2 linked regions of the Xenopus tropicalis genome follow. The protein of the gene in region 1 purifies or fractionates together with the protein of each later gene. This does not show direct contact. Links are inferred from orthologs where the notes say so. Each region holds a gene or a part of one and is shown on either strand. Other genes may lie near its edges. The genes, in order: zc3h4 and wdr82.

Region 1 (16,249 bases):
TCCACCAACTCCCCCCATGTCCAACTGCATCCACCAACTCCCCCCATGTCCAACTGCATCCACCAACTCCCCCCATGTCCAACTGCATCCACCAACTCTCCCCATGTCCAACTTCATCCACCAACTCTCCCCATGTCCAACTTCATCCACCAACTCCCCCCGCGTCCAACTTCATCCACCAACTCTCCCCATGTCCAACTGCATCAACCAACTCCCCCCATGTCCAACTGCATCTACCAACACCCCCCCATGTCCAACTGCATCTACCAACACCCCCCTCCTCGTCCAACTGCATCCACCTGTTCAGGCCCCTGCCGCAATCTCCTGCTCACCGCCACCGTAGCCTCACTTTTATAAGGTCGCGCCCCGTGCGTACTGGCGTCACGTACACACGGGGCGCGACCAATCAAATTACCCGCTGACCACCAATGATAGGGCCCGTAACTTTTAAAGGGGGCCGGGCTAAAAATACTGTATCACGGCAGCGAGAAGTGTCCGGGCAAAATTGTGTTGAATGCTGCCTGTCAGAACCACTGATTGGTGGCTGCTGGATTTATCTGAATAAGTCTCACCATTCTGTACTTTTTGTAAAGCATTGTTTTAAAATATGAAATATCCCATGCTGTATTGTGCAAAATAAAATGTAAAAAATTCAAGGCAATATAATGGTATCCTCAACACTGCTTTCTTACAAAGGATCCTGGACAAACGTTACAAATGTATTCCCACTAAACATATTTTTGCTGTTCACACAAGAATTTGTAATACTGGGAGTTCATAGCATTATCAAATTGTGCTGACATACTTGATTGCCATCCTATGGATTCTAGGTATTATTTTTACAAGCAAGTAAGTCGAGAGTGATTGGTGTAAAAATACAGCAGCAGTACCTGTATCTCTTACGATCTCTTGTTCCATTCCCATGCTTGGGTGCTGGTAGTAGTCGTCATAGAAAACCTGTCCAGGTGGCCCATCATTCATCATTTCAGGACCATCTTCTGGCCCATATGGCATTATGGGCATATTTTCATCCATGCCCAGCTCTATGTCATGATGCATTGGGCCTGGAGGTCCAGGAAATCTAGGTGGTGGTGGACCTGGAGGACCTCCAGGAGGTCCAGGTGGCCTGCATAAAAAAATACAATTTATTTGGAGCTGCCAACACAATTGTTCATATTTTATCGCAAGTCAAATACATGCACTGTCTTACCTCACTCCCAGCTTATGAGCCAAATGAGCAGTGGGCCGCACTACAATTTCAAAGAGAGATGGTATTTTCCTCTGGCACATCTGTGGATCCATTGGCTGCTGCGGACCAGGTGGCATTGATCCTGGCGGAGGTCCTCCGGACAAAGGGCTACCTGGCATTAGGTCACCTGATGCAAGACCTATAGATCCTGGGCTTCCTGGCATTGGGCCTCCAAGCCCTACCTCCATTGGTAGCATCAGGCCTTCTGGGTTTGGCTGCATGGGTGGCATTGGGACACCTGTTTCCATAGGATCTCCAAGACCACAATGCATCGGGGGTACTGGTCCCTCTGATAAAGGTCCTCCTGTAATTTGTCCAGCAGGCATAGATCCTTCTGGTATGCAACCTGATGAAACAGGACCTCCTGCCATTGGGCCCCCAACAAATGATCCAACAGGTCCTCCAGAAACTAGGCCACCTGATACAGGACCTACAGGCATCTGCATATCTGAAATTTGATCGTCTTGCACTGCACCACCTGAAATGGGGCCTCCAGGCAATGGTCCACTAGGTGGTGGTGCTCCCACCAAAGATGCTTCAGGTATTGATGCACTTGGTACAGGACCCCCAGATATAGGAGCATCAGAGACAGGAACGCAAGGTATTGGTCCACCAGCGATAGGAACTCCAGATACTGGCACACTAGGGGCTGATTTACCACCAGTAGGAGAGGATGGAGCAGCTGGCCCTGTTGAACTTTGAGCTCCATGAGAGTGGGATGGTGTAGGCAGAAGGCCTACTCCTGGTGGTGGCTTTGGTAAAGGGTTGATACCTTGCTTTTTTAGCTCTTCAACATCCTTTTCATCTTCTGCTCCAGCTTCTGCATCTTCAGCCAATATCTGAAACCAATGAATATACAGTGCATAAATATATATATATATATATATATATATATATATATATATGATATATGATATATGTGTAGTTTTTAGAAAGAGTAATGAAACAGAAATGAAGGCAATTGTGCCATGAACAACTAAAACACATTAATGGCCATTAAAATGTATGAAAAAGATAGCGATGTAACCCCTATGTTCCAACACTGTATACATTTCTAAGGGGTTACTTAACCATTACACAGTTACTAATTGATATTGATCAATGGATCTTTAATATAAAAAAATGATTATTGCTACTACTTAATTAGTTGAAAACAGTTATAAGTCAGTTTATCCAATCTAAACAACTAGAAAAGTTTTAAATTCCAGAATACTATTTAAATAACATGTTTAGTAGCAGTTATAGGATTAAAAGGTTGTCTACTGCTATCTTAAATGGGTTGTCCACCTTGTGGAAAGTCCTACCAGTTAAATATAGAAAAAAAAAATCAAAATGGGCCTACCCGACCCCTAAGGTGCAGGAACTAAGAATCAGAGAGTACAGTGAACTTTATGTACTAGTGTGCATTCCCCATTTATACACACCAGGCTTTTCAAAAGATGAAACATAGCCTTCAGCTAACAATGGATATTTATTTAATCAAGAAGCAATACCCCTAAACACACCTGCAGTACCTTATCTGAATGTCTTTATATGGGTAAATATTTAAGAAAATGTAACTACCTGGTATTCAAAAGAAACTGTGCAATTAGCCTATGATTAGCAAATTAGGCAACTGCATAAATGTCAATATTCACCTATCAGTTAAGTTGTACCTTATTTAGAAGTTCTTGTGTTTCATCTGTCAGGGGCTCATGGGAGAACATGCAATCTTCACCATTAATACAATTGCCTGTGGTATGGTACAGCTTACAAGGGAAATCATGTGAGCACAGTTAAGGAAAAATACCCAAAATCAGGTTAAAAACACAGAAACATAAATACATACTCAGAAAAAGTTATACAGAATTATATCTCATATCCGATCTGCATTACTTCATTCTGCTCGACACATTAATCTGCAGTTATAGCTCAAGATTTTTTCTTTGTAGGCTACAAACATTTGTAAATATGAGGTAGCAAATGTAAAGGAAAAAAAGAAGCTTTTTTTTCCCCTCTAATAGTGATAAATAAAAGGAAAAACAGTCAAGTAAAGTAATTAAAAGTGAAGGTATTTTCTTCACTCAGATTCACAATACAAACCAGTGGAGGAAGCGTAGATCATGGTTATAGCATAAGAATGGAGACATTACATTTAAAATAAGTGTATAATATTTATAATATTATTGTCTAGTAGCTTAGTGGTTTAGCAGTCTGCTAATGTACTACTTCTTTCTCTAAGAAAGGATATTGTGCATGAATGGACAGTTTTCTGCTCTAGCACAGTAGCCACTGACATAAAATTTGCATAGTCCACGGCGACGGGGAACTTCCACATCATGGCTGAAATTACAGTGCTCTCCCTGAAAATAAAAAGAAAGGTAAGGATGTAAAAAATGGGATTTTGTGTTACTCATCGTTAAATCCCTTTCTCTCTGAAGTCTGTGGGACACAGGAACATTGGAGCAGAACATCAACCACTAGGAGGCAGAACATTGCAAGGAAAAACAACTCTGCCCTCTAATGCTATCCCCCAGCAGTAAGCCTTAGATCAGGGGTTTCCAATCTTTACTAGTGAGCCACAATCAAATGTAAAAAGACTTGGACAGCAACAAAAGCATCATAAAACTTAATGGAGGTGGCAAATAAGGGCTAAGATTGTCTATTAGGTAGTCTCTATGCACACTATCAGCTTTCAGGAGGCTTTATTTGGTAGTAAATCTTGTTTTTATTCAACCTAAACTTACCACCAAGTGAGGAATTCAAAAATAACTATCTGCTTTGGGGGCACCGAGAGCAATACCCAAGGGCTTGGTGAGCAACATGTTGCTCACGAGCCACTGGTTGGGGATCACTGCCTTAGATGCTCAGTTTTGACTAACAACAAAGGAATGAATAACCCATAACTACTATTTACAGTAATAGCATCAGGAAGGTAGTAGGACCACTTTTCACAGACTGCAGAGAGAAAGGAATTTAGCAGTAACACAAAATCCCCTTTTCTCTGGTTGGTCTGTGGTAAACAGGAACCATGGGGACATACCAATGCTGTCCCCCAAAAATTAGGGAGGAAGAAAATGAGGCCAGAATTAAACCACTGTCGTCTAAAACACTTTTCTCTTGAAGTGGGCGTCATCTGCTGCAAAGACCTTGAATTTGTAGAGTTTCGGAATAGAGTGGAGTGATGACCAGGTAGTGGCCTGCACAGCTGTTCCGCAGAGACACGGTTCCGGAAAGCCTAGGAGGTACTGAATCTCCTGGTCAGGTGCTCCCCAACGCAAAGAGGGAGGAGGACAAAAGGTTGTAATAATAATTTCCTGGTTGATTTGAATTTCCTACATGACCTTCTGAAGGAAAGAAGGTATGGTATGTAGCACTGCCTGAGCTCAGAGACTGTTCTGGCAGAGGTAATCATGAGCAAAAATAAAGTCTTACAAGTAAGCCAGAACAGTGGAGCAGTAGCCATAGGCTCAAAGGGAGCCTCCTGCGTGCCAAGTTAAAGGAGAAGGAAAGGTATAATCACTGGTGATTGTAATCACTTACCTTATACCCCAGGCCATGCCAACAGAAAACTGCACCAGATTTGGGTACCTGCGTGCGAGGGATCCTCTTCTTCTTCATGATCCCAAGTCCTGCGCAGTATAGTAAAAAAAAGCCAGCTTTTTTTGTAAAAGTTTGGCTTTTCACTCAAAAACAGAAGGAAGAGGATCACTTGCAGGTAACCTGGGCCAGTGCAGGCTTCTGCTAACAGCATCACCGACCTGGGGTAACAGGTAAGTGATTGCGGTCACCGGGGGGGGGCTAACATTTTTTCATCCTCCCCAGTGATTATACCTTACCTTCTCCTTTAAGGTCCCAGGGAGGCAGGGGTGCTCTGTAGGGGAATGCAATATGGGCTACTCCTTAAAGAAATGTGCGGATATCCTGAAGCTTAGTGAGCTTCCTCTGGAAGAGGACTGATAGTGCCAAAACTCGTGACTTGAGGGAGGCAAGGTAAAGACCTTTAGTGAGGCCAGATAGTAGAAAGTGCAAGATGGTTGTGACTGAGTAGCAGTCCCAAGGTAGGTTCAGGGCAAAGCACCAGTCTTTGTAGATCCTCCTTTGATACATTTGTGAGACCAGTTTTCAAACCACGAGCATGGTAAAGATAACATGGCAGAATACCCTTTTCTATGGAGAGTTAGGGACTCAACAGCCATGCAGTTAAATGTAGCACACCTGGGTTGGAATGTAGGATGTTTGGGGGAAGGTGTGTAACACATTTGAAAGGGTGAAATCCCATGATATTGTCATGGCATCTGCTGCCAGGGCCAAGGGCTCTTTGCAACCGGCTATTAAACAGGACGCCTTGTTATTTTGTCTGGATACCATGAGGTCCACCTGTGGTTGACCCACCAATGTTCTGAAAGACCTCTTGGTTTACAGACCATTCTCCTGAATCTAGCAGCTGCTGCCTGAGGTAGTCAGCTTGCCAGTTGCCTAGCCGTGGTATGTATACCACTGACCATGTGCACACCTACTGGTGCCTCCCTGATTGTTCAAGATCAGGCTCGAGGTCGAAGTCTTGGAAGATATGGAGGGACGAAAAAAGCGGGAAAGGATGTACAGGACCCAAGTTTGAGGTAGCAAGGTGTTTTCCCCCCTGTGGCCTGACTGATAATTTTATCTAGCTCGGGTTCTAGAGGAGCTACCCTTTGTAAGGGACTTCTTAGATGAGTGCACCGGGTTGCCACCAAAGAGCAGAGGTAAAACTGGTTACTTGTACATCATCAAGAGCTGCCTTGCAGATGTAATCATTGGCTTCATTAATTAATCTGTAGAGCTGTAGTCAGAAGTTCTTGTCTGGGAGTGCCGGAATTGATACCTTCTGTGAGGAAAGTGGACCAAGACCAAGGCCCTGCTGACCCAGGCAGAGGCCAAGATAGGATAGAGAGATTCACCTGAAGTGGTGAAGATTGATCTAAGGAGGCCTTCTCTGGGTGGTCCCACTTAGCATGAATGATGTTACCCAATTGAGCATGGAAAGGAATAGAGAGGATTCCTTTTGTCTCTTAAACAGAGACTGAAGAATCAGGTGTTGATGTCAGGTTTTTGAGATCAAGGCAATGTAGGACTGTGCAAATTAGGTTATCTAATGTTTCTGAGAAGGATTTGTTTAGATCTTCACCTGCCTCTTCCTGGTCTACTGCCTTAGGCCCAAGTCTATCAAGCAATTTGTCTAGGCATGCTGCCAATTTAGGGATGTCAGTGGACAACTGCAGAGCCCACATGGGGGGGATCTTGGATGGAAGTAGAAGGCTGGGCAGGCACAGGAGAGGTGTCCCCCACAGGGGCTTGAGCTGTGGTGGGAGCAGGGAGATCCTGAGCAAGGAAAGGTGCTTCAGAGGACTGATTAGTGCAGGAGGAGCATAAGAGGTCCTTGGGCCTAAAGGTGGCCATACACGGACAAATTCAGCTGTCGTTATCAGTTCTTTAAGACCGATTCGGCAGCTTATCTGCCGTGTATGGGCCCCCCAACAGGCCTACCCCATCGATATCTGGCGTGAAATTGGCCAGATCTCGATTAGGCAAGTTTGATTTTCCATAAGATCAGGGGCCACATTGGCTCTTTGATGTGGTCCCTGATGGGAGCAACATCCAAGGGATTGGGGAGCAACATGTTGCCCGAGTCACTGGTTGGGGATCACTGACCTAAGGCACACTGCTGGGGTCTAGTGGTGCCTAGTGGTGGATGCTATACCCTATGGTTCCTGTGTCCCACAGACATGCCAGAGAAAAGACTTGCCGCCTCATTAAGAGAAAACAATAAAAACCTTTTTTAAGGTTGCATCTTATAAACCAGTTAGACATGTGTACAGCAATGCAATATATTCATCACTCATATAAAAAAAAGTATCAAGATTTCCATGACTAAACCCTTTTAAAGCCATAGAAGTTGCTAGAAGACTAGAAAGTAGGTCAAAACAACAGTCTGATAGGCTGTAAGCTAGTTAGCTAATCTACTGTGCTACTATATAAGTTTATTAGGCCTATAAGTAAAATCATTACCCAGGTGCAGCGGCCTTCTACAAAATACTTGCAGACAACTTTCCCTTTTTTATCAGCCCGATGGTGTGGCTTCTCATAATCATTTCTATACATTCCTCCATCCTAGAATGAGAAAAAAAGAATCAGAAATATACAGTTTGCTTAATTGAAATAAGCTGATTAAAAAAAAATAAATGTTAAAAGTAATGAATGACCACTGAAACAATATGAAAACTGAAGAATTTTCTAGCCTACAGAACTGTATTCATTAACTATATTACCATTCAATCAAAATTGCCACAAGACCTAAATGTTCTTATTCTAATATTAACACACAAGCACCATCTCTGCAGTCTAAGGCACACAAACTGCACAACTCATCAGAACCTTCATTAATCACATCTCATTTCAGTGAATTGACACTTTTAATGTCCATTGCCATGTATCAGTACTAAGTAAATCAGGACAGAAACTGCATTTTAACACCCATTCAGTTTTGATATTGTACACAGATAGAACAGCAATCACAGGCATGATATAAATGTATTTAGAAAAAAAAACCTGTGATTTTATGATTTATGTCTTGAATACATAACTTACACCCTCTTCCTCATAGTATTCATCCTCATCATTTCCCTTCCCTCCTCTGCCTCGTCCTCTTCCTCTTCCCATGATTTTGTATCCCCTTCCACGTGGGCCCCGACCGCGGCCTCTATAAAATCCTGTAAAGGAGGTTAAAAAAAAAAAAAAAAGATCATCACTTTCAAATACCTGTAATGGATTAAACTGCGGTTTAAACTTTAAACTAACGGTCCATGTGTTCCAAAGAAATATCTCCTTTATTACAAAAAAAAAAAAAATACAAAACTTCAGGTTGTAAGATCAGCAGCTTCAACAAAGCAGTGCACAGCAGCACTATTTACATACAGCTTTGAAAACACTCAGAGGTCAACAATCACTGTGTGACAAGACTTATCAAGAGCTCACCTCGACCTCTGCCCTCTTTTGCCTTCCGATACTGGTTAAGTTCCTTGGAATAATCGTCATACTCTTCATCTTCCATTGCTTCTTCTTCACAGTACTGTAAGCAACACAATCCACAATTATATCAGAGTAATAAAAATGCAGGTCTCTACATTTTCAAAATGTTTCTTTAGTTTTTATTTAACAGAAATTCCATAATTGTTTAACTTAATTCATACTGTTAACCTAACAGCTAGAAAAAGAATGAAGCCCTGTAAACAGGTTGAGTTGATAACTTTTAGATTCATTAGCTTAGCATTGATCAAAAAATATTGAAGATGAGGAGCACCTTCCATTGATCCAAAGATACCACAAAGGAGGTTGTGCAGGGTAAAGAAAATTACGAAAAGTGGGCAGGCACATCTACATCCAAATTCGATAACATCACCTGTGCCAGTGACCTTATCGAATTTGAATGTAGATGTGCCTGCCCACTTTTCTTAGTTTGACATCTCCATTGGCTGATTTGAATTATCTTTGGTTATAAATAGACGTGCGTTATGCAAACACGTTGCCTTTGACAAAGCCCTTATTTGTTGAGGGCAAAAAGCATGTCAGGCGCTTTTTAGTTTTGTTTAGGCAGGACTTTACAACGTTGAACTGAGGGGGTGATTGGGTGCTAGTAGCAGGGGTGGAAGGGTGTTGATGCTACCTAGTGGCCCCAGGCAGACTTGACTTGTAATATGGGCTGGCAAGCATAGGTGCTTTGCTGATGGTATTGCATCGCCAGGGAGAGGCCCATTATTGAGATAAGAATGCCCTGTTATATAATCAGATGCCCAAATATGCCCACAGACCAAGCTACCCTAGCCTATCACCTAATCCTGGCAAGAACCTAATATTCATCACATGCCAATTTTTGGCATATAATGAGGTAATAATTTGGCACCTAAGAAGAAATTCACAGTCTTAGAGCAGCTACATTCATAGTATATAGGTAGCTTGTTAACTGTTGATTTACTAGGTTGGCTTTCAGTTGGTCCTTGTCTAAATCGTGATTTTTAATGTAAATTTTAGCTTCACTAATCTGTCTTAGCACAATTTATTTTTATCCTTTAAGTTACATTTTAACAGGGTAATTAAATATGCTATCAATGTGAAAGAGCGGAAGGTGCAACACTGTAGGTCATACTTTTTTCTTTCCCTATTTTAGTTTAGCATTGATGTCTTCCAATGTTTGGTGGGGGCCTAGGTTTCATCCAAGGCACAAGCTATGAAAAGTTTATGTACATTCTGCCCATGCTTGCTTGGGTTTCCCCCAACAATCCAGAAACATTCAGACAGATTAACTGGGTCTTGATAAAATTTACCATAGTTTGTGAATGTGATATGGACTTTAAATTTTAAGCTCCACTTGGGCAGGGTCTGACTGATGTGACTGATGTGAATTATGTATAATCACTTTAAAAGTCCTGCAGAATATGCTGGTACTATATGAAAACAAGCTATATTAAATATATGCTTTAGCTAGATAGCAGCATACAATATTACTACCTCCATTTCTTCATCATACATCTCCTCTTCATCAGGATGATCCTCTCCTGGAAATCCTCTTCCTCTGCCACCTCTACCCCTGAAACCTCTTCCTCGCATCATTCCACGTACTCCTCGACCTCTCATAATTCTTCCTCTACCTCTAATGCCTATGGAATAAACAAGTATAGAAGAGATACTTAACTGTGATAAGCTGTAAAGATTATGCACCACTGCAATAAACCTCAAGAAACCAAAAATAAAATGAATTTGGGGAAGGTCTGACCACAATATGTGTATAGTATGGATGAAGTGTCTGTATGTAAACATAATTGTATTGAATATCCTAAATGTTCTAGCTTTTTCATACTGAGAAAAAAACATTAACAATAGAACATTTTAAAATAGAAAATTACTCTTATAATTGTAACCACACTTAAATACTCATAACTAAAACTGTATTTTCATTTATAAATGAACCAGTGCACAAAACAAAATGGTGAATTGACAGGTTTTTTGGGGTTTGTAATCTGTGTCCAACATGTTTGCCTTTCAGTACTTATAAAATGATATATCTACATATCTGTTGTCCCACCTCTGCCACGATGACTTCCTTCTTTGGCCCTTCTGTACTGGTTCAGTTCCTTGGCAAAGTCATCATAGTCTTCCTTGCCCATGTCTTCCCCTTCATCCCCCTCATACTCGCCATAATGGTCATTTTCATAATCATCGTACATGCCGTAGCCTTTGCTATCCATTTTGGGGTATTTCTTAGGAGGTGGGGCATTGTGCTGTGGGGGCGGAGGGTATTGCTGGTGAGCCTGAAAGAAAACAAAACACCACATAGGACAAAGAATGCACTGGATGAACAGCAGGTGAGAGAATGGGGTTTCAAGTTAAATAATTTATCAAGTCCTTTAGAGCAGCAATTTCTAACCTCTTTTACACAGGTCTTCTAATTTTTAGTCAACACTTTTGTCTTACCCATCTGAAATACCACTTCTGAAAATATAAAATTCTTTCATAGGAAAACTAGTTTAAAAAACAAATGGAAATCATTGCTTTGGCATGTTATATGGACTCAGTGATGAAGCACCTCATTTAATGCCACATATGCCAAGTAAGAAATCCACTTGGGCCTGAACAGATCTCACAGTTTTAGAAACACTTCTTTACAGTGCACATGCTGCCTATTCACAGGACTCATGATCACATGCCAAATAGTTCACAGGGTAATATGAAATTCTGACAGACCTGTGTTGCTGTGGGCAAACCAACAGAACAGGAACCACTATGCATATTTAGATACTGTCAAACATTTTATGAAGCGTCAAAGATTTTTTTGTTGCAATATAGCTGTTAAAAATATAAGTACTGTGTGCTAACTGTAATACTGATATGGGTTGGGTTAACAGATATACTAGAAGACATCAACTATGATCTTAAAACTCACCGGAGGGTAAGAGGGGCTATATTCACGGTACTTCCTGTGTCCCTTTTCACTTGGGCTGAAGTCTGAGTCATTGCTATAGTCAGAAAAGTCTTCACTGGAGGATGCATGACGCTAAAGAAAATCAACAAAAACAATAAGGATATAATGTAAGTGGAAACTGATCAACATCTGATCAATCTGGATGCTTTAAAGCTAATCATTTGAGGACAATTAATGTTTTCTTACAGAATACTACTTATTTGACAGAGCTGTGTATTGGCATATCCTACTATTCCTCACAAATTTTTTTTAATGATAAAATTGTTATAAAGTCCCTGCCCATCAACTAACTGCCATCAATTAACTAGCAAGACATCCCATGATCTTTTAATAGGGAGGCAAAACAGGTAAGGGTGATGGCAAATGATATTAGTCAGTTGCAATGTATCTGCGCTACCATGGGCGACTAATCTCCCCTGAATGCTTTCCAACTGGTGATTTAATGTAAATCACTGGTGAGAAAACATACACATCACAAAGTCACCCAAAGTTTCCTAGCGACTTTGGAAAAACTAAGTGAATTTTATGTTCCCACTGGCTATTTACATTTTTACTTATAGGCATTTTCTGGGGGTTTATCACCCGAGAAGTGCATATTTACTGTGGGGGTCAAATCTCCCTGTGTGCCATGGCCCTAAAGTGTTTATGGCCAGATACCTCAGAATGTTAGCACCCAGTAAACAACCTGAAAAACGGTTAAAAACAAGGTCCACACAAATGTATGCATTAAACATCCTAAAAACAGGACTGTGTAAAGTGGTTGCTGGCTGGAAAGGTAAAGCCAAAAGGTGAAGCCTGTGGTATTTATGTGCCACAATTGCCTGAATGAAAAATACACTTAGGGGCTCATTTATCAATGTATGAATTTCTATTGTGTTAAAGTACAATTTGCGAAAATTTGTATACTTAATAATTTCTGATGTGCGGAAATGTTACAAATGTTATGAAGTCAAAACTTTCTGACTTCCCATAGGACTCAATGGAACTCTGCAGCTCCAACCTGGCCAAAGGAAAGCCATGATACCGAAGCTTGAAAGAATTACAAAACTTTTGTACTCGTTGCGACAAATACGATTTTGTCACACAAATTTTTGCAAAGTACACAACAGTCAGACAAGTTAACAAAAAAAAATTGCTGGAAATACGCAAAAGTTCTTTAGAAAAAATAAAAAATTTTCGTAATCGGACCTGTCGTACTTTAATGAATGTGAAAAGTGTGCAATTCACCCTACAAACAACCACCCTAGATGCTGGCTAAAATAATCAATAAGAAAACAGAATGCCGCACAAACAGGGACTTCAAAAAAAGCAAAAACTGTTTATTAAAAAAGATCTTTTTTAATAAACACTTTTTGCTTTTTCTGAACTCCCTGTGTATGCGGCATTCTGTTCTCTCATATATTATATATATATATATATATATATATATATATACCTTGTGCTTGGATTTCCTTTTCTTCTTAGATCGCCTTTTCTCTTTTTCCTTTCGTCGCTTCCTCTTCATCTTGCGATGTGCCTTCTCTTCATCAGAGTCACTGTAATGCTTCTCACTCTTCTCTTGTGGAGCCTGGGCCTCTGACAGATCACGGGCTCCATCCTCTCCCCCATCATCCTCAAGCTCTCCTTCTTCCAGTTCACCATCCTCCCTGCTGAAAAAAATACAGAGAAGTCAGAGAGCAATGACATTACAACCTTTACTGACTTGTTGAAGACTTGAAAGCAAGTACTATGTCCCATATCCCTTCCAGTATGCTTAAGATAAGCTGAAATGATAAGTGTGCAGGAAAAAAACAAGCAGAACTAAAAATATGTACCTTGTTGTGAAACCAAAACTGTAAGCAATGATAAATGCTGGCCATAAAAAATACTCCTCACTTTAGATGCAGTAGAGTGGCTGTTGATTATAATGCTTCTAAAACCCACATTACTGCTTTAATGAAGCATATAAAAATAGATTAGCAGCTACCTGCAATGCATATTCCTGCATACATATCTATGTATAGCAAAGCTCAATAGATGAATGTAATGCATAATCAGCAATGCATGCACTACAGGAACTAATCCAAAGGTTTTGCACACATAGCCTGTGTGCAGAATACTGTTTCCTTCCAGCTATGTAGACAGCTTTTTATAAAGCTACAATATATGAGGATTTCTATACGTCAGCTATAAAACCAGACATGTACAGAATTTAGCAACTTGCGGCAATTCAATTAAACCCACACCCAACGTGTTTAGTATTTATGTTGGTCCACCTCTTTGCACACAGTTTTTTTTAATGTGTAAATGAAAGCTTATTTTTTTCAAGTATTTTTAAAATTGCATATAGTTACATAGTTACATAGGGTTGAAAAAAAAACAATGTCCATCAAGTTCAACCCATCCAAGTAAACCCAGCAAACCTAACCCACACCTACCAATCTATACACTCACATACATAAACTATAAATACAACCATTAATACTAACTGTAGATATTAGTACAGGTATAGGACCCATTATCCAGAATGCTCGGGACCAAGGGTATTCCGGATAAGGGGTCTTTCCGTAATTTGGATCTCTATACCTTAAGTCTACTAAAAAAAACAATAAAACATTAATTAAACCCAATAGGATTGTTTTGCATCCAATAAGGATTAGTTATATCTTAGTTGGGATCAATTACAAGGTACTGTTTTATTACTAAAGAGAAAAAGGAAATCCGTTTTAAAATTCTAAATGATTTGCTTAAAATGGAGTCTATGGGAGACGGACTTTCCGTAATTCGGAGCTTTCTGGATAATGGGTTTCCGGATAAGGGATCCTATACCTGTATCACAATAGCCTTGGATATTCTGATTGTTCAAGAACTCATCCAGGCCCCTCTTAAAGGCATTACCACATCTCTAGGAAGGGCATTCCACAACATCACTGCCCTCACCGTGAAAAACCACCTATGCTGCTTCAAATGGAAGCTCCGTTCCTCTAATCTAAAGGGGTGACCTCTGGTGCGTTGATTGTTTTTATGGGAAAAAAGAACATCCCCCATCTGCCTATAATCCCCTCTAATGTACTTGTACAGAGTAATCGTGTCCCCTCGCAAGCACCTCTTTTCCAGAGAAAACAACCTCAACCTCGACAGTCTAACCTCATAGTTTAAATCTTCCATCCCCTTATCCAGTTTAGTTGCACGTCTCTGCACTCTCTCCAGCTCATTAATATCCTTCTTAAGGACTGGAGCCCAAAACTGCACTGCATACTTAAGGTGAGGCCTTACCAGGGACCTATAAAAATTATGTTCTCATCCCTTGAGTCAATGCCCTTTTTTATACAAGACAGCACTTTATTTGCTTTAGTAGCCACAGAATGAGATTGTCTGGAATTAGACAACTTGTTATCTACAAAAACCCCTAGATCCTTCTCCATTAAGGATACCCCCAACACACTACCATATGAACCTCTTGTGCACTCGGTGGGGGAAAAAATAATTTATTACTGAAAAGAATAACAAGAAACACACTTTCAATGGTACATGTAGCCAGGATCATCACTGCAGGTAATATTTACTAAGCACTTAAATCAATGAAAATTAGTTATCTAAAAATATACACTTCTAGTGCTACATGAGGCAAAATAAAAAGTCTGACATCGGCCATTGCAGAATTATTAAAAAAGTGCAAGTCAAAACCTGAAATTCAATTGTTGTTTTTGTAATATATATGTATAATAAGTTAGGTGAAAAATGTGTCATGTACAGGAATCACATGTTTACAATTCCCAAGATGTATTTGCCATTATTAAGCAAGTTACAGTTTAAAGTGGATTGAAAAGCCAAACACTTATATAAAGATATATAGAGTAAACTACAGCTCACAGTATCATCAGCTAGCATGTTTGTTCTTATGAAAACCTTGCACCTATCACCAAGTGTAAGACAAGCATCTAATAAAAGTAGGGAATTACAAAACAAGCTAACATAACTGTAAGATGATTATGAAAATATTTACCATTCTAACAGATCAATTAAAGGCAATCTATAATGGGTATTTAAAAATGTTTGTTCAAATTATATATTTCTAAATTATATTAGGGCATCCCCTACCCTTATTCAACTTACAAAGTACAGGTCACATTGCAATATTACATCTAAGCTATGACACCAACAAATTAGCGGTGTGCTCGCACAGTTTTATACAAATATAATTCAATATTGGCTAAACCCAACCATCTCTGTATCATGCAAGCACCTTTATCTAATAAAAATGCATAAAATACACACTGATGTTCAACTGTTAACATATTTTTATTAAATACACTAAATTAGACACATACTATGGTGTGGTAAAAATATCCACACACAAGCAATGCTAACTCGGTGTTCTCACAGGGAAAGGAGAGAAACCTGGTGATAAAGAGTTAACAGGATTTTTAATGAGTTCATTCAGCATTAAGAATATACATGCATGAAGAGTTTAAATATTACATAAATATAACATTCTGCTTACTCAAGGGGGACTTGCAAGACATTGAAATACCTTGTTCTCTACCGAATTCCTCAAACTGCAGATGATGTACACCTGGGGATATGTGTGTCAGAGGGATCGTTAATAAAATAAACCAACTTTTCTACCAATGCAAACTGACTTCTATTTGAAGAATTTTCCCCTAAATAACTTCAGACACTGAAATTGGTTATTGGTATTGGTTAGTTTGGAATTTAGCCAAATCCTAAAACTGCTGATAGTCTCTCTAAATTTTTAGTACTTGGCTGAAATTAATCTGCTCCCTTATTTAGCGTTACATGAGTCTCCCGTGCAACTTATAGGGGAACTACTCTGTACCATTTCTAAAATAATCAAGATACTCTTCAGCATCCTGCTCTCTGTAATCTATCTGTCGCTCTGTCTCTCCAGGCAGGAGTTGGAGTCAGAATGACAGCTATCTCTAATACACTGGCTAGGCAAAGAAGGTTTAATGCAATAATGGATTAGGTTAATGGCACAAGGGTTGTTTCCCTCTGCTGGCAAC
Region 2 (16,204 bases), on another chromosome or scaffold:
GTTTGTTTGCTCCCATTTAGTAAAGGAAAAACTGCAGTCTGAAGAGGCAATTCTTCTAAAAAGTGTACCAGGGCCCATAACGTGATGGAAGGACTCTCCAGTGGCACACACCCATGAGTCCTGGCCATCAACTGCAAATCCAGACTGGGATACAAAATAGGCCCTGGCATTTCAAGCACACATCCCTAAACAGCCTGATTGGCTGCCAACATCCTACAGACAGGGCAAGGATTGTTAGTACACACCCATATTTGAAAGTCAGAAAAGATATACAGTTAGCTTAAATCCTTTTTAGCCAAAATGTACTATTATTTGTAACTGCATACATGATGGTAAAAATGCTTTATGTCTTGTATGTTTAATTAGCAGACAAGTAACCTGGTAGCCTCAATGTGTTTAAGGCCTATGGCACATGAGTGATTTCTGCCATAGGAAGAGCAGTACCATAAATTTGATGATAGGAATGATAAACAATACTGGCCCCACACTGTTAATAATAGGCTAGCAAACCAATAGGGAGTAAGGCCACTTTAATGCATTGGCTGACCCAGCTAAATTGCCTGACCATTAATTTTGTGGGTTACACAAACTCCATGATCATTAAACAATACACAAATATATATTGCTATAAGTCAGCATACTGGCTATCTCTCCTGTGAGCATCTTTGAGTTCACTGGTCTGATTCAGATAAGACTGGATATATATTTTATTATAGAAGACACTATACACAGTTTATTAAGGTATATTTACATATGATTACAGAATAATTATGATGAAGCCCATAGTAAGACATCAGAATTTTAAAATTCAATGTGTTCCATATTCTGTTGATTCTTATTTGAAATATGTATTCCAGGCAGGGCTGATATCATTGTCCATCTGTTGCTCGCCTTATCAAAAGCACTTGCACATCCATAACATTTGTCCCAGTCAAACCAGTATTGAGAAGATATGTGCCATCTTGAAACTGAGAAAAGAAAGTGTGAGAATCACTGCATGTTAAAAAGCTTTCAGCATCGAGTCCGCTCTCCTGAGCATGCCTCACCAGTGCTGGGTAAGCATAAGCTCCAGCTGCTTCTGTGGGTCCATCTTGCCCATCTGTGCCACCACTTAAAAACAAAACCTCACAGTCACTTAAACAAAAGGGAGACTTGTGCCATTCTTGTGCCACTCTCAGAGCAAGTTCCTGGTTTCTACCTCCTTTCCCTTTTCCCTGTACAAGCACTGTTGTCTCCCCTCCACACAGGATACAAATTGACTGTACATTTCTAGATTCTCTTAATGCCTCTAACTTCTCTGCAATATTTAAGTCAGGAATAGAAAGATCACTGGCCACAGCTAAAAGCTCTTGTTCCCACAGTGCTTCCTTGGGGTTATGTGTCAGTATGGCGCAAATGACCTGAGCAAGGCATCCATAAAAGTACCCTACTTTTTTTACATCACCATTAACAGCAGTAGACATGAGTAGTGTATGATAACCCAGTTCAGTGGATTTCTCCTTGGCTTCTTGCAGTGCAATGAGGTTGGAACCAATGAGAATATTATGAACATGGCTGAAATCTGTGCTTAGTTGTTCCTGTGGCATAGCGAGCAATGCACGCTCCACTGCCACTGGCACAGACTTTGTTAGGTTGAAGTTGCTCAGTATCTGTAGGCATTCTTGCTTATTGTGTGTGCAGTGAACCGTGGGGCCACTTGCTATGATATCAAGGTCATCTCCTATCACATCAGACAGAATCAAGCTGAGCACCTGTAGAGAAACAGAATGTAAGTGAGTTACTGGACTTGTGAGAGATTCTAAACAAGTTTTAGGAGAAATAAGGACATGGCCTAATGCATAGCAAGCATAAAAAAGTCAGACATAAACACCTAATGTTGCTTAGACCCTGGCATATGCATTTGCCTTTACCAAACACAAACAATTTATGATGTTTGATTGCCTCTAAAAGATGCACAGAAATAGAGATCCATCAATATACAGATTAACATTTTTAAAAATTATTAGGGATGCACCAAATCCACTAATTTAGGATCCGGCCGAATACGGAACCGAATCTAAAACAGCATATGGAAATTAGGATAAGGAATGGTACGTGTGCAGTGAAAAATATGCTATTTCCCTGTTAATGTGACAAAAAGTCACATTGTTTTAAGAATTTTTTTGGATTATTTGGATTCAGGTAGGCCAGAGGCATGTATTCGTCCGAATCCTACCAAAAAAAAGCCGGATCTTGGCCGAATCCCGAACAGAATCCTGGATTCGGTGTAGCCCTAAAAATGAGTTCCCTTTTTCCTGTTATAATAGAACAATACCTTGTACTTGATCCTAACTAAGATATAATTAATCCTTATTGAAGGTAAAACAATCCTATTGGGTATATTTAATGCTTAAATTATTTTTTAGTATATGGCAATCCATATTAAGGAAAGGCCCCTAATCCGGAAAACCACAGGTTCCAAGTATTTTGGGTAACAGGTCCCATACCTGTATATTATATTTTGATAACCCAAATAGTAAATAATGCCATGCAGAGTTTTCTGATACATAACTTTTTCATTAACAGTAAGGATTACCAACAGTTCTGTTGGGCACTATTGATAATTACTGACAGGAAAGTGCCATCAATCTACCGAGCAGGGGCATCACAAATGACCTGTAAAGCTCACTACAATAAATGTCTCTTTGAAACAGAGTGATTCAGGCCATATACTGACCTGAGCCGGGTATGCTATGTTGGCAAGCCCTCCACCTTTTAGGTGTGACAGAGCCCTACGCAGAGTGTTTAATTCATGTATGGTCGCTCCCTTCATAGCCAGCTGTTTTGTTATCATTTGCTTATCCTGTAAGGAAAGAGGAGGAACTGGTGCAGGCAAAAGTGCTGAGCCTCCCCCTAAGAGGAAGAGAGACAAAAGAATATAAATAGGTCACAGCATTTAGAAACAGTTCAAGAAACATAAAATTAGATGCACATGCTTAACAGTATCGATGGCAACCAGTAAGTATTTTTATTCCATGAATTGATTGGTTGCTATGGCTTCTGCACGGTGCAATCTGGTACACATATTTTTTGTAAGAAATCCCACATCTACTGAACTGCTTCAGTTTTATTCTTTTCTTTTCCATATATGCCAAGTGATAGCTTTCTGACACCCTTTGCTTGCTAGCTGTCACATTATGATATCCTTTATACAATATAGTATAATATAGTTGTATTGTTTATAGTTGTCTTTCATCCACCTGAGATCAGCACAAGCAGTATATCTTGCTCTGTCAGTTTCTCTGCAAGGCTCTGTATTTCTCTAGCTGCCTCCAGTGCTGCTTTGTCTGGCATGTTGTGTTCTGCACCTTCCATCACCCGGATCCGTGAGTCTGGAGACAGGAGCATTTCCCTGCAATTATTACACTGACGATTAATGAAACAGAAATACAATCTCCAGACTATTTTTATTTCCTACATTTACAAAAGCCAAGGGCTGGCATACTGCTTGCTGAATTCAAGCTTACTTGCTTAAAATGGCATGTAAATTCATCAAATATTGTGAATCAGAATCTGTGCAAACCGTAATTCAGGTGTTATCACTGCTTCCTAAACCCCCACCACCATCACCTCCCATATTGTGACATACACACACAATTTTTTGGAGCATGGGGGGCTTTTGAATTCTCACAGGACACACTTATACATAAATATACATAGATATTATTTTTTTTTATCTGTTTTATTGGGCTAAAAGGTGTTTTCTTGCCTAGTCTGACTGCTTTAAGCATCTTTAATGGAGAAGGAAAGGCAAAGTCACTTGGCTTTAATCATTTACCTTGTACCCCTGGCTGGTGCCCCTGAAAAAGCCAACTTCTCAGTTAAAGTTCCGCTTTTCACTCAACTGCACATGCGTGCGCAGCGAACCAGGAAGGAGGAAGCGCTGGCAGCTACCCCGGGCCGGTGCTGTTCTCTCTGAACAGGGGCACCAGCCGTGGTAAAAGGTAGGCTACTGAAGTCACTTGGGGGTGCCTAACATTTTGGCACCCCCAAGTGACTTTGACTTTCCTTCTCCTTTAAGCAATGTTATTGATTCTTTGGAGATCTTATAGCATTTTCAGTTCAGGATTACTGATAACTGCTTGATTGTGACTAAAATATGCACAGCAAGACTAGTGAGACTGGGTTTCTGTCTGGGTTTTTTTCAAATTACTTTAATTGGTTTTACAGGTACTTGATTAGACTTTGGAACTAATCATTTTTGCACACATAATTTGGTGTGTAATATTTTCATTTTAGGGTCTCTACATGCAACTTTGTGTTATAATTATGTGCATATTGGGTATAAAGCTGGTTAGGAGACCCCTGGCATTCATATATCATGATGTTTTATCAAAGAAGTGGGAGCTAAAATGCTGTAAATTGCAATTTAATACATATTTCAAACATTTTATTAAAACTGCTTTATAGGCATATTTCTACATATATCATGTAGAGGACCACATCCGGCCCATGGGCCTCCAGTTGGACAGCCCTGCTCTACACACATAGAGGGAGTATACATCATATGTACACCCTACTTGTAAAAATTATAGATGCAAAAAGGTTTCTTGTGCACTTTTAAAACATTATCTTCGCAAAGAGGTGGGTTGGTCCAAATTAGTACTAAATGTGTTTGTGCGCAAAATTCTCTATGCGCAACACAATTTGTTCTGCAAACTAGCCAAGCTGAGCACATGACGACAATTTTAGAGGGAACAGAAGCACAGGAAAGAAATTAAAAGCAGGAATATAGTGACGATTTAAGTTTTCTGTAAATAGTTTTCCTACCAGCCCACCATTGTGGGGAGGAGCTTATCCACTGCAGCGCAGAGCAGGGAAGCAAGGAATAAAAAAGGATACAAAGACAGAAGTACTAGGCTGCTGTGAACAGTACCTCTTTCCAGCTTGTTTAAGAGTCTCTTCCATCCCTCTCGGTATACTAATTACCCCCCGAAGCAGATGCTTTCCAACTATTTTCTCCACTGCTGCTGCCATTCCAAGTACGGCTTTTCCAAATCCTACCAAGTAGAGGTTGTTGTGCAAAGGCAACTCTTTGCCCCCACACTGCAGAACAGAGGCATCACCATTATCCTTCACTGCTACATTTCGCCCTAACATGTTGGGTGGCAGAACAGCAGAAACTGCTTTCCAAAATATTTGTTTGGCATCTGTCTGCAAAGACATCATCCTCCTCGAGGAAATGCTTATCTTGGTGGACAGAGCAGCTTTGATGGGCAGAAACTGCAAAACGTTGGCCATCCGTACCAAATATACCTACAGAGAGAAAGATCACATAACATTAGTGTATTATAAAACCAGAAATGCTATTGCACATCCTAAATTCTACAACTATTTAATAATCCCATTAACCCCTGTAAATGCTCGCAAGCACAGTCAGGATCACACATGACTAGGCAACAGGTTATTTCCATATGCTACAATGTAATCAAGAAATGGAGGAACTATAGTGTTGGTATTGCTGGTGCTTCCGTTTTAATGCACTGGCACTTAAAAGGTTAAAGGGGGACTAACATCCAAAAATAAAGCTTGAACTTATGTCTCAAAACAACATGTAATGGAAATGATATATATTAGATGTTTATAGGCTGTCTGATGAGTAAACAAGTCAAGTTAACAACAGCATATAAACTGAGTTGTCACTGGAATCAAATCACTAGATAAATGCACAAACAGTGAATCATAGGAACAGGAAACATTTAGTAAATCAATATACCCTTTACTTGAATAGCTTTGTTCTAAAAGTGCAGAGGCTGCAGAAGGCACCTGGAATAGCTGCTTTGCAAAAATGAGGACGACTTAGGTAAAGGTTCTGTTGTGGAATATCCTTTTGTACTACACTCAGCACACAATAATAATCGTCTGCAGGGTCCCCAGTCTGAAGATCAGCAGAAACTGGTCTAAAGTTCAAAATACAGCTTGCCATACTAAAAGCCAAAACATGTCACCAGTAAATTATTAAGAGATTTTGCCTTGGGAGGCAGGTCCCTGCTTTATAATACCTTAACTGTACTGACAAATATTTACTTAATAAGAGCCCTTAATGAATAAGTAAACCTTTAACATAATGAATGCAAAATTTATAAGAGTGCTATTATAAGCACTTTGCAATTTGCATTACATTCATTCAATTTACATTCATTTTTTTTTTAATATTCAGAGATCCTAATGAAAATATGTACTGTAAATATAAATTAGCTTTGTTACAGCAGCACCAACTGTTGGTCAGTTTCTGACCATGATCCAGTCAAGGAAATTGTCAGGAGAGAGAAAGAGGGCTGGTCTGATGTTCTTCTGGTTAGGAAAAACATTAGAAACCTTAGATAACTTTCCTCTCATCTTTCCTAACCAGAAGAACATCAGACCAGCCCTCTTTCTCTCTCCTGACAATTTCCTTGACTGGAAACTGACCAGCAGGTGGCACTGTTGTAACAAAATGCTTTCATATTAAAAGTACATATTTCCCTTAATATTTTGGAATCTCAAAAAAATTATAAGTTTAAATAGCAAAACTGCTTAGAATAGCACTCTCATCAATTTTACATTCACGTATTTTAAAGGTTTACTTATCCTTTAATGCCTCGCCATCCATCATGTTCTTCCCCTGATATGTCATAAGTAAAACATTTTATATCTGTATGGGCACAGGTTTAGTCAGCCTAGGCTTCTCATTAAAGCTGCAATGCCTCAAGAAAATAAGCATGGAGAATGTGTGGGTCAGGAAGCTTACAGTTCTAATGAAGTAGCAGCAACCAGCTAAGCTGTCTTCTATGCTGGGGATTTTTAGAGTGATGGCCCACAGGGTAATTTGTTGCCCATGGTAAACCTGCGCTACCTGCTGGCAACAAAGAAGCTGAAAATGCTTTTTAATTCAGGAGACTGAGTATGGACTCATGTAAAGTAAAAAAGTAAAACAAATAACACTGCAAAGATAATATCACATAACTGTCAAAAGGTCCCGATATCGGTCCCTTATACCAATTTGGCAGATAATCGGGCCATGTATGAGCACTACCGACGGGCCTGCCCGACCGATATCTGGCCTGAAATTGGCCAGATATCGATCGGCAGGTTAAAAAATCTAGTCGGATCGGGGACCGCATCGACTCATTAATGCGGTCCCCGGAACGACATTGCCTATACCCGTCGTTATAATTAATATATAATTAGCCTGGATTCTCCCGATATCGCCCACACCTGAAGGTGTATGGGCACCTTTAGTGTTACTGGCACATTCTTGGCTATTTAAACAAACAGCAGGGTTATCCTGTATTTAGGTATGGCCGTCCCTTTTGGTTCCTGAATTAAAACTGTCCCATCTAAATTGAGAAGGTTAGGAGGTATGAAAATCAACCCCAATTTTATTGAAGCGGTACTAACTTGTTGCAGTCAATGAATGGGACCAGGTCCAGCCTTCAAGTACACAGAGACCCATTCAGCCCCTACACACCCAAAAACTAGTCTATCTATGGCTGGGGGTCCACAACCTTTTTTATCCATGAGCAACATTCAAATGTAAAAATAGTTAGGGAGCTACACATGAAAAAATGTTTCTGGAGGTTGCCTAATAAAAGGTGTAGTTGACAATTTGGTAGCCCCTATGTGGACTGGCAGCCTACAAGAGGCTCTGTTTGGCAGTACACCTGGTTTCTATCTAATCAAAACTTGCCTCCAAGCCAGGAATTCAAAAAATAAGTTTCTGCTTTGAGGCCACTGGGAGCAATATCCAAGGGGTTGGGGAGCAACATGTTGCCCCTGAGCCGCTGGTTGAGGATCATTGGTCTATAGTATGTTATAGCAACTCAATTGGCATTTGGCAGAATCTACAGATTGTGAGTCCAGGCCAGAATCAATATGTATCACTGACAACTAGGGATGCACCGAATCCACTATACTGGGATTCAGTCGAACCCCGAATGCTTTTGTGAAAGATTCTGCCAAATACTGAACCAAATCCTAATTTGCATATGCAACCTAAGGAACAGAATGCACAAGAAAGAACCATGTGCAGCAAAACATTTTCTACTTCAGCTTATATGTGGCGAAAAGTCCCATGATTTTAAGGATTCTGATTCCGCCCAGGACTGAATCCTGGATTTGGTGCATCCCTACTGACAACAAGCTTTATTTTTCACAAATTACCACACAACCCAGTTTCAGGAAAACCAAAAGTCCAGTGTCGGACTCCTCCAGACTACAGGTGCATGGTGCTCCCCCAGCCCAGCACGACTGACAGATCCAGCCTGCATAGTTAAACTGGTGAGACCTGGACTAGAACTGTATTTGATTTTCTACTGAAGCTGCTTATTCTTCCTGCTTGTTGGAACCCCTAGGCCTGAGGATTTATGGGTTGTTGGAAAGGATGCACCATATCCAGAATTAGGTTTAGGATTCGGCCAAATCCAAGTACCTGGCTGAACCAAATCCTTAAAACTGTGATTTTTTTTGTCAAATGAACATGGAACTTGAACATTTTTAACCACGCGCTGCACGTGCGGTTCTCTCGAATCCTTCCATAGCCTTATGCAAAGTAGGATCCAAATTAGTTTCAGTATTCAGCCGAAACTTTCATTAAAGATTCAGGGTTTGGCCAAATCCCAGAATTTTGGATTCAGCACATCCATTGCTATTGATACCTTGACAAGTGGACAACGTTTCTTTATTAATAATAATTGCAGTAAGTTACACCAATTACCAGTATTTAGTCAAGGCCACAAAGAACACTGTTAAGAACACTGAACACTAGTCAGCCTTTGCGCATGGCTGCATTGTGAGCGTTGTAGCCAACAGCAGCTGGCGCACATTACATTGCCTACCACTGCTTCCCCATGGACAAATAGAGAATGTTGACACTTCAAAAAAAATACTTGAAAGCATGTATTCTCACTCTTTTACTGACTGATTGGGCGAACCCGAGAATGCTTCAGGACATTACGAGTATTCCTCGCACACCAGCCTGGAACGAGTTCTCTTGCCACAATCAACATGGCGACACCGTAAAACCACTTCCGCCATGGCGCCGTTCTGTAGGCGTTATCCTGCAGGACGTCGTTACGCATGACGCCAGAGACGTTTCCGTATTGCGTCTACCCCCTGAATCAGCCAATAGCACATGACGCTTTTCCAGGAGCGGGCTGTCTCCTTCCCGGCTTCAGAAATAACATGGCGGAGACAATGAGAATGTAGGAACGCGCGCGATCCGTATGCCCAAATGTCGCACAACTACCAGGCGCCGATAAGCTGGTGATCGGGAAGGAACGTATAAAGTAGCTTCTCTTAACTTTCGGGAGGGTAAATACTGCCATTCGTAAGGCCCGGGTCCTCCTGAAAACGTGGCTCGACTCGCAAGGAACTGCTCGTTCTGTCTGGCCTATTTCTAAAAGGTTGTTCATATATCTGATACTAGAGCCAGCTTTATATGCCCGCCCATGCTTATTGTACATTGACTAGTATAGCAAGTGCTTTACGGCAGATTAGCAGCCACATTGCCCGGGATCGCAGTAGGAACTGACAAAGTCCACAAGAATGAATATTATTTCCAATCAGCTACTCAGTATGTGTGTTTTACTAGTTTTAGCATTTCAAAGGAGGTGGTCCATGCCTTTCAGCATTCAGGGGGGGCGTTTGCACTAAGCCCCCAGCACTATAGGGCTCTGTTAGGACATTAATTTTGATAAAACCTTTAATATATGTTTCATCTTTTAAGGAATTCTATATATTGAAAACATTTTACATCAGAGATGTCCAGTCTCTGCCTTTCAGCTGCTGTTTAACTGCAGTCATGGTAGATGAGGGTTGCAGTTCATGAATTGGAGAATCACTACTAGTTGGAACACCAGAATTTCTTCAGTGATCAGGGCTCCCATTCCATCTATAAAGGGCAGTATTCCCCCATTTCCAGTTTGTTGGAACGTAAGCAAGTAATCCCGCCCATACACAAACCTAAATGGTGGTAAAGTTAGAGGTGATCCTTGCTCCTTCTGCTTTGGGTGCTTAACATTTGGCTAAACCATTTTATTCTCGCCTACAGTCCAGTATCTAGACCTCTGCCTTTTAAGACAAACACCGTTATGCCGTCAAGTATAAACACATTTTCTGTTTTCCGCTGAGTATACACATGAACCTCTGACATCACATGAAAGCTTGTTGAATTCCGCTGCACATTTAATGTAACTTTAATTATATTGCTGTATGTAGGCAGGCCTGGACTGTTAATCTGTGGATTTTTGCAAATGCCAGAGGGGCTGCTGTAAGTTACTATAGGCAGTCACCATTCAGTGAGCTGGTTGGGGACTGTTTGGGCCTATTTTGAGTCCCAGACTAGACCAGTATTTAGAAGTTCAGACTAATCTGTGGGAATCCATGCACTGCTTAATTAAACATTTGCATAAACAGAATTTTCTTGAGTAAAGGGGTCTGTGATAGCAGTTAAATGCTGTGAGAAATTGACCTATTAGGGTTAGGTGCTAGGAGCTTGAAGCTCTTTATGGGGTCATAATGATTATATGTATTGTGGTCTTTTGGGTATATAGAATGTGTTTTCCCACATTATTGACCTAGACTGCTTATTCTTCCTGCACAAGCCCATATTAAATGCCATGCAGAGGCTGTACAGACAGTGACTAGGGCAATATTCTAATATCATTAAAACTCTATGGGGAAATCTAGATGTGGCATTGTCTATTAGACCAGGAATCGGTAACTCATCTGCCTTAGAGATGCTGAACTGCAACTTCCAGTGTCCAGTCAAATGCTGTTGGGGTACTAGTGGTCTTTTGATAGACTCAGATTGCTTTTTAATGATGTACAAAGGCCAGTTTTTAACCATAAGACTAATCCAGAGGTCTGATGTAACTGGGAAATGAGCACTTACTTACTAACCCCCCTCATGTTCTTATGCACTACTGCAGAATATAGGATTTTGTCCCGATTTGAACAGTTTATATATAAGTGCCCACTTAATTATGTCCTAACAGCCATCTGGTTTTTTTTTTCTAGTTTCAAATTTCTTAACCATTCATCATTTCCCTTTTTGCAGGGGCCTGCTGTCCCAGCACATTGGGTCATCATGAAGCTCACCGATAATGTGCTCCGAAGTTTCCGTGTGGCAAAGGTCTTCCGGGAAAACTCTGATAAAATAAATTGCTTTGACTTTAGTCCAACTGGTGAAACAGTCATATCCAGCAGCGACGATGATTCAATTGTGCTTTATGATTGCCAGGAGGGGAAGTAAGTACATATGTGATATTTAAAATACCTTTTTATGTTGGGAACTAATGTCAGCAAACATATTTACCTGACTGAAGAGCTCACCCCTAAATGCTGTGTTTTCACTTTTGACTAATAAATCACAGGAGAACACCCCCCTTGAAAATATTTCCATGTGCTGGTCCTGTTTTGTATAGACACTGTTAAGGGTATCGTTCTCTTCCAGTACTGTAGCACAGGTAGACGAGACAGGGTATGCCTGCAGACATGGAAATTAGGGTACATGTTCACACTGGTTGGACAGCTCTGCCCTAACAAAACATAGGCTGAAAATGTCAGTAGTAAAGCACAGTAAAGCTGTATTGATTCACATTTACAGCAGCCCTATGCATAGTATGTTACACCCCAGTGATCCCCTCTGTACGTGCTCTTTTTTGTTCCACCCCTGTGAATAAGAATGCTATGATTGGCACATACACACATTGCGTAGTAAGCATAGAGTCAGTGTGTCAGTGATCCCCAACCAGTGGCTCGGGGCAACATGTTGCTCCCCAACCCCTGGGATGTTGCTCTCAGTGCCCCCAAACCAGGTAGTTATTTTGGAATTCCTGGCTTGGGGCAAGTTTTGGTTGAATAAAAACAAGATTTGCTACCAAATAAAGCCTCCTGTAAGCTGATAGTGTGCATAGAGTCTACCTAATAGCCAATCTTAGCCCTTATTTGGCATCTCCATGAACTTTTATGATGCTTGTGTTGTCTCTAAGTTTTTATACATTTGGCTGTGGCTCACGAGTAAGAAAGTTTGGGGACCCCTGCTGTATGTGAAAACTTGTACTGCAGAACTGTGCATCTTTACTTAATAATATTCAACCCATGTTTTGCTAGGGATTTAGTTGACCTTACGAATACAATTGACTCATTGTTCACTTATTCTTGCTGTTTTTTTTTTTTCATTCTTCTAAGTATATACCTTGTTATATTTTTATTTTTTTTTTTTTAGGCCCAAGAGGACGTTGTACAGTAAAAAATATGGTGTTGACCTTATCAGATATACACATGCAGCTAATACAGTGGTCTACAGCTCCAACAAAATTGATGGTATGTGATCTAGTAATTTGGGGAATAACAATTGAGGTACTTCATGTTCGTGTACCGTAACATTTTACTTGGTGATTTTTTTTTTAACAAAATAAGTGTATTTTAGGTGCTGTTATACATTTATATGGAGATGCCAATAAGTTCGGACAGACTGCCTGGATTTGGGCTGAGGTAGTTGTTTGTACAGTTTAAGGGTCTGTGACACCACCCTCTGTTGGAGATAACTGTACAGGCCACTGCCTTGCCTAGGACAGAGCATACTCGACAAGGAATCCTTTCACCCAGAGAACTGACCAGCTAAGAATGTGATTTGGTTTTTTTGTACATTTATGGAATAAATAAAGTAGTTTTATGCTATTTCTAGTTTGCCTTTTTGATGTGGGATGTGCATATGTTTGGTGCCTGTAAATCATATAGCGTGAAGTATAGTTTACATAGTATTGATTACATCTTTAGTGCATACATTTTTTTCCTACAGACACAATACGATACCTCTCTCTTCATGATAATAAATACATCCGTTATTTCCCTGGACACAGCAAGAGGTGAGCATGCTTTACAAAATTCAGTACATTTCATATTGGAGCTAAAGGCGAATGAGTCAGGAAAAACTGCAATGACCGTTCAGGAAGATGTTTTCCCATAGTCAGTAGCAATCTCTGTAGTTAGAATGTAAGTTTAATTATTGCTTGAAATCATGAACATGTTCAAGTGATAATAGTGCACTTGTACCATACCCTGATCCGTTGGTTGCTATGGGAAACTACACAAATCGGGTTTTCAGATTTTGTAGTCATGACTTTTTCCAGAAAAGGTTTATGCAGTCAGAATGCATAGTGTCTCATAATCCTTAGAATTCCTTTTTCAGTGTCCAGGGACATTTTGTTTTGTCAGTAATACTTACAAATTGGCTGTAAGATATTTTAATTTTCAGTAGTTTGTAAGGAATAAGAGACCTCGGCACAAGATTAAAGTGTTGCAACTCCCTTGTATTTAACACCCACTTCGTTATTGACAACTTTTTACTCAGATAGCACTCTGCTTTATTGCCTGCAGCAGTCATTTTTATTTACGTAAAGGGGTAGTTCTCCTTTAAATTAAGACAGTGGTATTCTAAGACAATTTGCAATTGATCTTTATTTTGTGTTTTAAATATTTAGTATTTTGTTCAGTAGATAGGTCAGAATTTCAGCAGCTCTGAACACCACGGTGCAATTTACCCTAGCAACCAGCCAATGGTTTTAATGACAGACTGGAAGATGAATATGAGAGAGCCTGAAATATAAGAGAAAAAAAAACTATAATATTAGTTATAATAGCTTCATAATAGCAGGCATCGGCAATAGATCCATATCTTTTGGTCAAGGAGTGTCCAGGCTGCCCATGGTACAGAGGGTTTGAAGTGTTTGATTCAGTGTGTCTCTAAATTTTTCAAAAAGCAAACCTATCAGTAAATCTTTGGGTGACATTACCTTTACTTTGATAGGTAGTTATAGCTTTTGGGACACTGGTGTCAGTTTCTCAGTTAAACTTACCCTAGTCACTCTAGTATTATCTTATTATGTTCTGGTTGTGCTTTACAGAGTAGTTGCTTTGTCTATGTCTCCTGTGGATGATACGTTCATTTCTGGGTCATTGGATAAAACCATCCGGTTATGGGATCTTCGATCGCCTAACTGTCAGGTGAGTAATTGTCTGATCACTATTTTAGTATTTAGTTATTTGCGTAATAACCTAAATGTTGTAAGTTAACTTTGGCTTGCTTTGTCTCCTTGTTTCCATGCAGGGGCTAATGCATCTTCAAGGAAAACCTGTATGTTCATTTGATCCCGAGGGTCTCATTTTTGCAGCTGGAGTAAATTCAGAGATGGTCAAGTTGTATGATCTTCGCTCTTTTGATAAAGTGAGTTTTGTAACCCAAAATTGAGTTTTAAGTTCTTCCCGTGTCCACATGGCTGCTCCTAGTTTCTCTCACTATCCCAAAAAAATTAGGGATGCACAGAATCCACTATTGCACTATTGTAGGATCATTTGCAAAAGATTTGTCCAATACTAATCCGAATTAAATCCTAATTTACATATGCAAATTGGGACCAGAAAGGATAAAATAGATAAAAATCAAAGTCATGTGATTTTAAGCATTTGGTTTGTCCAGAGGCATGGTTTCAGCCAAATCCCAATCCTGATGAAAAATACAGAATCCTGGACCAAATCCTGGATTTGGTGCATCCCTAAAAAAATAAATACAGGCAGGTTAATTGGTTCCTAAAAAACATTGACTTTACTGTGTGTAAATGCAATTGGGTTGTACACTCCATTTGGGCAGGGACTTAGGTGAATATTCCATAATCTCTGTAAAGCAATGTGGAAATGGCAGGTTCTATATAAATAATACATTATAAATGTCTGCAACGTTACGTTATGCTTATAGATGTATTATAAATGCCTCATTGAGCAAGGAATGCTTGTACCAGAGGTGAATGTCTCTGTTTAACATGTGGCTTAAGACTAAAATTTAGGTCATATCTGCAGTTTATCAGGGTTGCTCAGTGGCACTGATTTTTTTAATCCTTTGCTAGTATGTTATAGTGTAAAGCTGCACCTAACAGCTTCTTACGTAAGCTTGTGATCATCCATCTTGAGCCATCCGAATCTCCCCTTCCTTCCAAACTCTCCCATTTATTTAGGGAAGCAAATTCAATGTATCTTGATTAAGTGCTGCGTAATTTGCTAGTGCTATAAATAAATAAATAGATGATGATGATGGTGTCAGACTGAATTGAAAGGAGAACTAAACGCTAAAAATGAATTTTATATACTGGACTTAATCCACCAGCCTAAAGGTTCAGCATTTCTGTAAAAGTAATGATCCAGGCCTTCAAAGTTGTCACATTTTCTGACTGTCACTTTGGGCTTAAATTAAACAAAATGCACAGTGTCCCTTTTCATAATAGTGATTGACCAACCTGGTACAATATTGCTTATCACAGGGTCCATTTGCAACCTTCAAGATGCAGTATGATCGAACCTGTGAGTGGACTGCTCTGAAATTTAGCAATGATGGGAAACTTATCTTAATGTCAACCAATGGAGGCTTCCTTCGTCTGGTTGATGCTTTTAAGGGGGCTGTTATGCACACGTTTGGGGTGAGTAATTTTTTTTTTCATTAAAATGGCCTGAACAGGTAGAGCCCTTATGACTTCTTGTCATTAAACTTACTGCTGTGGAATATATTTGCACTTTATGATGAATACGTTACTAAATAACAAACTTATAATGAATTTTTTATTAGGGCTACAACAATAGTAAGGCTGTCACCCTGGAAGCTACCTTCACTCCAGATTCCCAGTTTATTATGATCGGTAAGTTAGAAGAAAACATTTATTAATATCCCAACTATTGTGCAATATCCACTCCTCTCACTGGTTCATCTCAATCTCTGTAGGCTCAGAAGATGGCAAAATTCATGTTTGGAATTGTGAGAGTGGTATGAAAGTAGCAGTGCTGGATGGCAAACACACAGGTCCTATCACATGCCTACAGTTCAACCCCAAGTTCATGACGTTTACTAGTGCTTGCTCAAACATGGTAAGCACAATCATATTCTTTGGTTGTTATAACTGGCACTTTATACAGCTATTGTTGCATTATCAAGTTATTAATGTCTTCTTGTAGGCTATGAAGTCCCAAAGTATACAGTTTGTGGCTAGCTTTAGAATCTATGAAAATCCTGTGGATAATTGATTCTAACAATCTTACATTGCAGGCTTTTTGGCTACCAACTATTGATGACTGATGCATACAGAGAAGCTGGCATTTGTAAAAATCCCATTCTTCAGCTATTTTCCACAAATAAATC

What was found.
Region 2: the proteins of zc3h4 (region 1) and wdr82 purify together in Homo sapiens (affinity purification with western blotting; 4 studies listed by BioGRID and IntAct, with this or other methods). This does not show direct contact. The link is inferred for Xenopus tropicalis from reciprocal best matches to the Homo sapiens genes ZC3H4 and WDR82.

The regions. Positions count from the first base shown.
Region 1 is NC_030684.2:77,124,491-77,140,739, reverse strand, and holds the start of zc3h4 (zinc finger CCCH domain-containing protein 4), read right to left. Parts: upstream 8,243-16,249; intron 7,978-8,242; coding exon of another isoform or gene 7,928-7,977; coding exon 7,856-7,927; intron 7,379-7,855; coding exon 7,277-7,378; intron 3,592-7,276; coding exon 3,480-3,591; intron 3,015-3,479; coding exon 2,905-3,014; intron 2,089-2,904; coding exon 1,211-2,088; intron 1,127-1,210; coding exon 891-1,126; intron 1-890. UniProt on the Homo sapiens protein: RNA-binding protein that suppresses transcription of long non-coding RNAs (lncRNAs). LncRNAs are defined as transcripts more than 200 nucleotides that are not translated into protein.
Region 2 is NC_030680.2:128,220,581-128,236,784, forward strand, and holds the start of wdr82 (WD repeat-containing protein 82), read left to right. Parts: upstream 1-9,214; 5' UTR 9,215-9,422; intron 9,423-11,077; 5' UTR 11,078-11,107; coding exon 11,108-11,268; intron 11,269-12,247; coding exon 12,248-12,345; intron 12,346-12,509; exon of another isoform or gene 12,510-12,593; intron 12,594-12,823; coding exon 12,824-12,890; intron 12,891-13,928; coding exon 13,929-14,028; intron 14,029-14,131; coding exon 14,132-14,248; intron 14,249-15,335; coding exon 15,336-15,491; intron 15,492-15,637; coding exon 15,638-15,707; intron 15,708-15,790; coding exon 15,791-15,933; intron 15,934-16,111; coding exon 16,112-16,141; 3' UTR 16,142-16,204. Other genes in the region: glyctk (glycerate kinase), read right to left, coding at 3,232-3,391, 4,916-5,208. UniProt on the Homo sapiens protein: Regulatory component of the SET1/COMPASS complex implicated in the tethering of this complex to transcriptional start sites of active genes.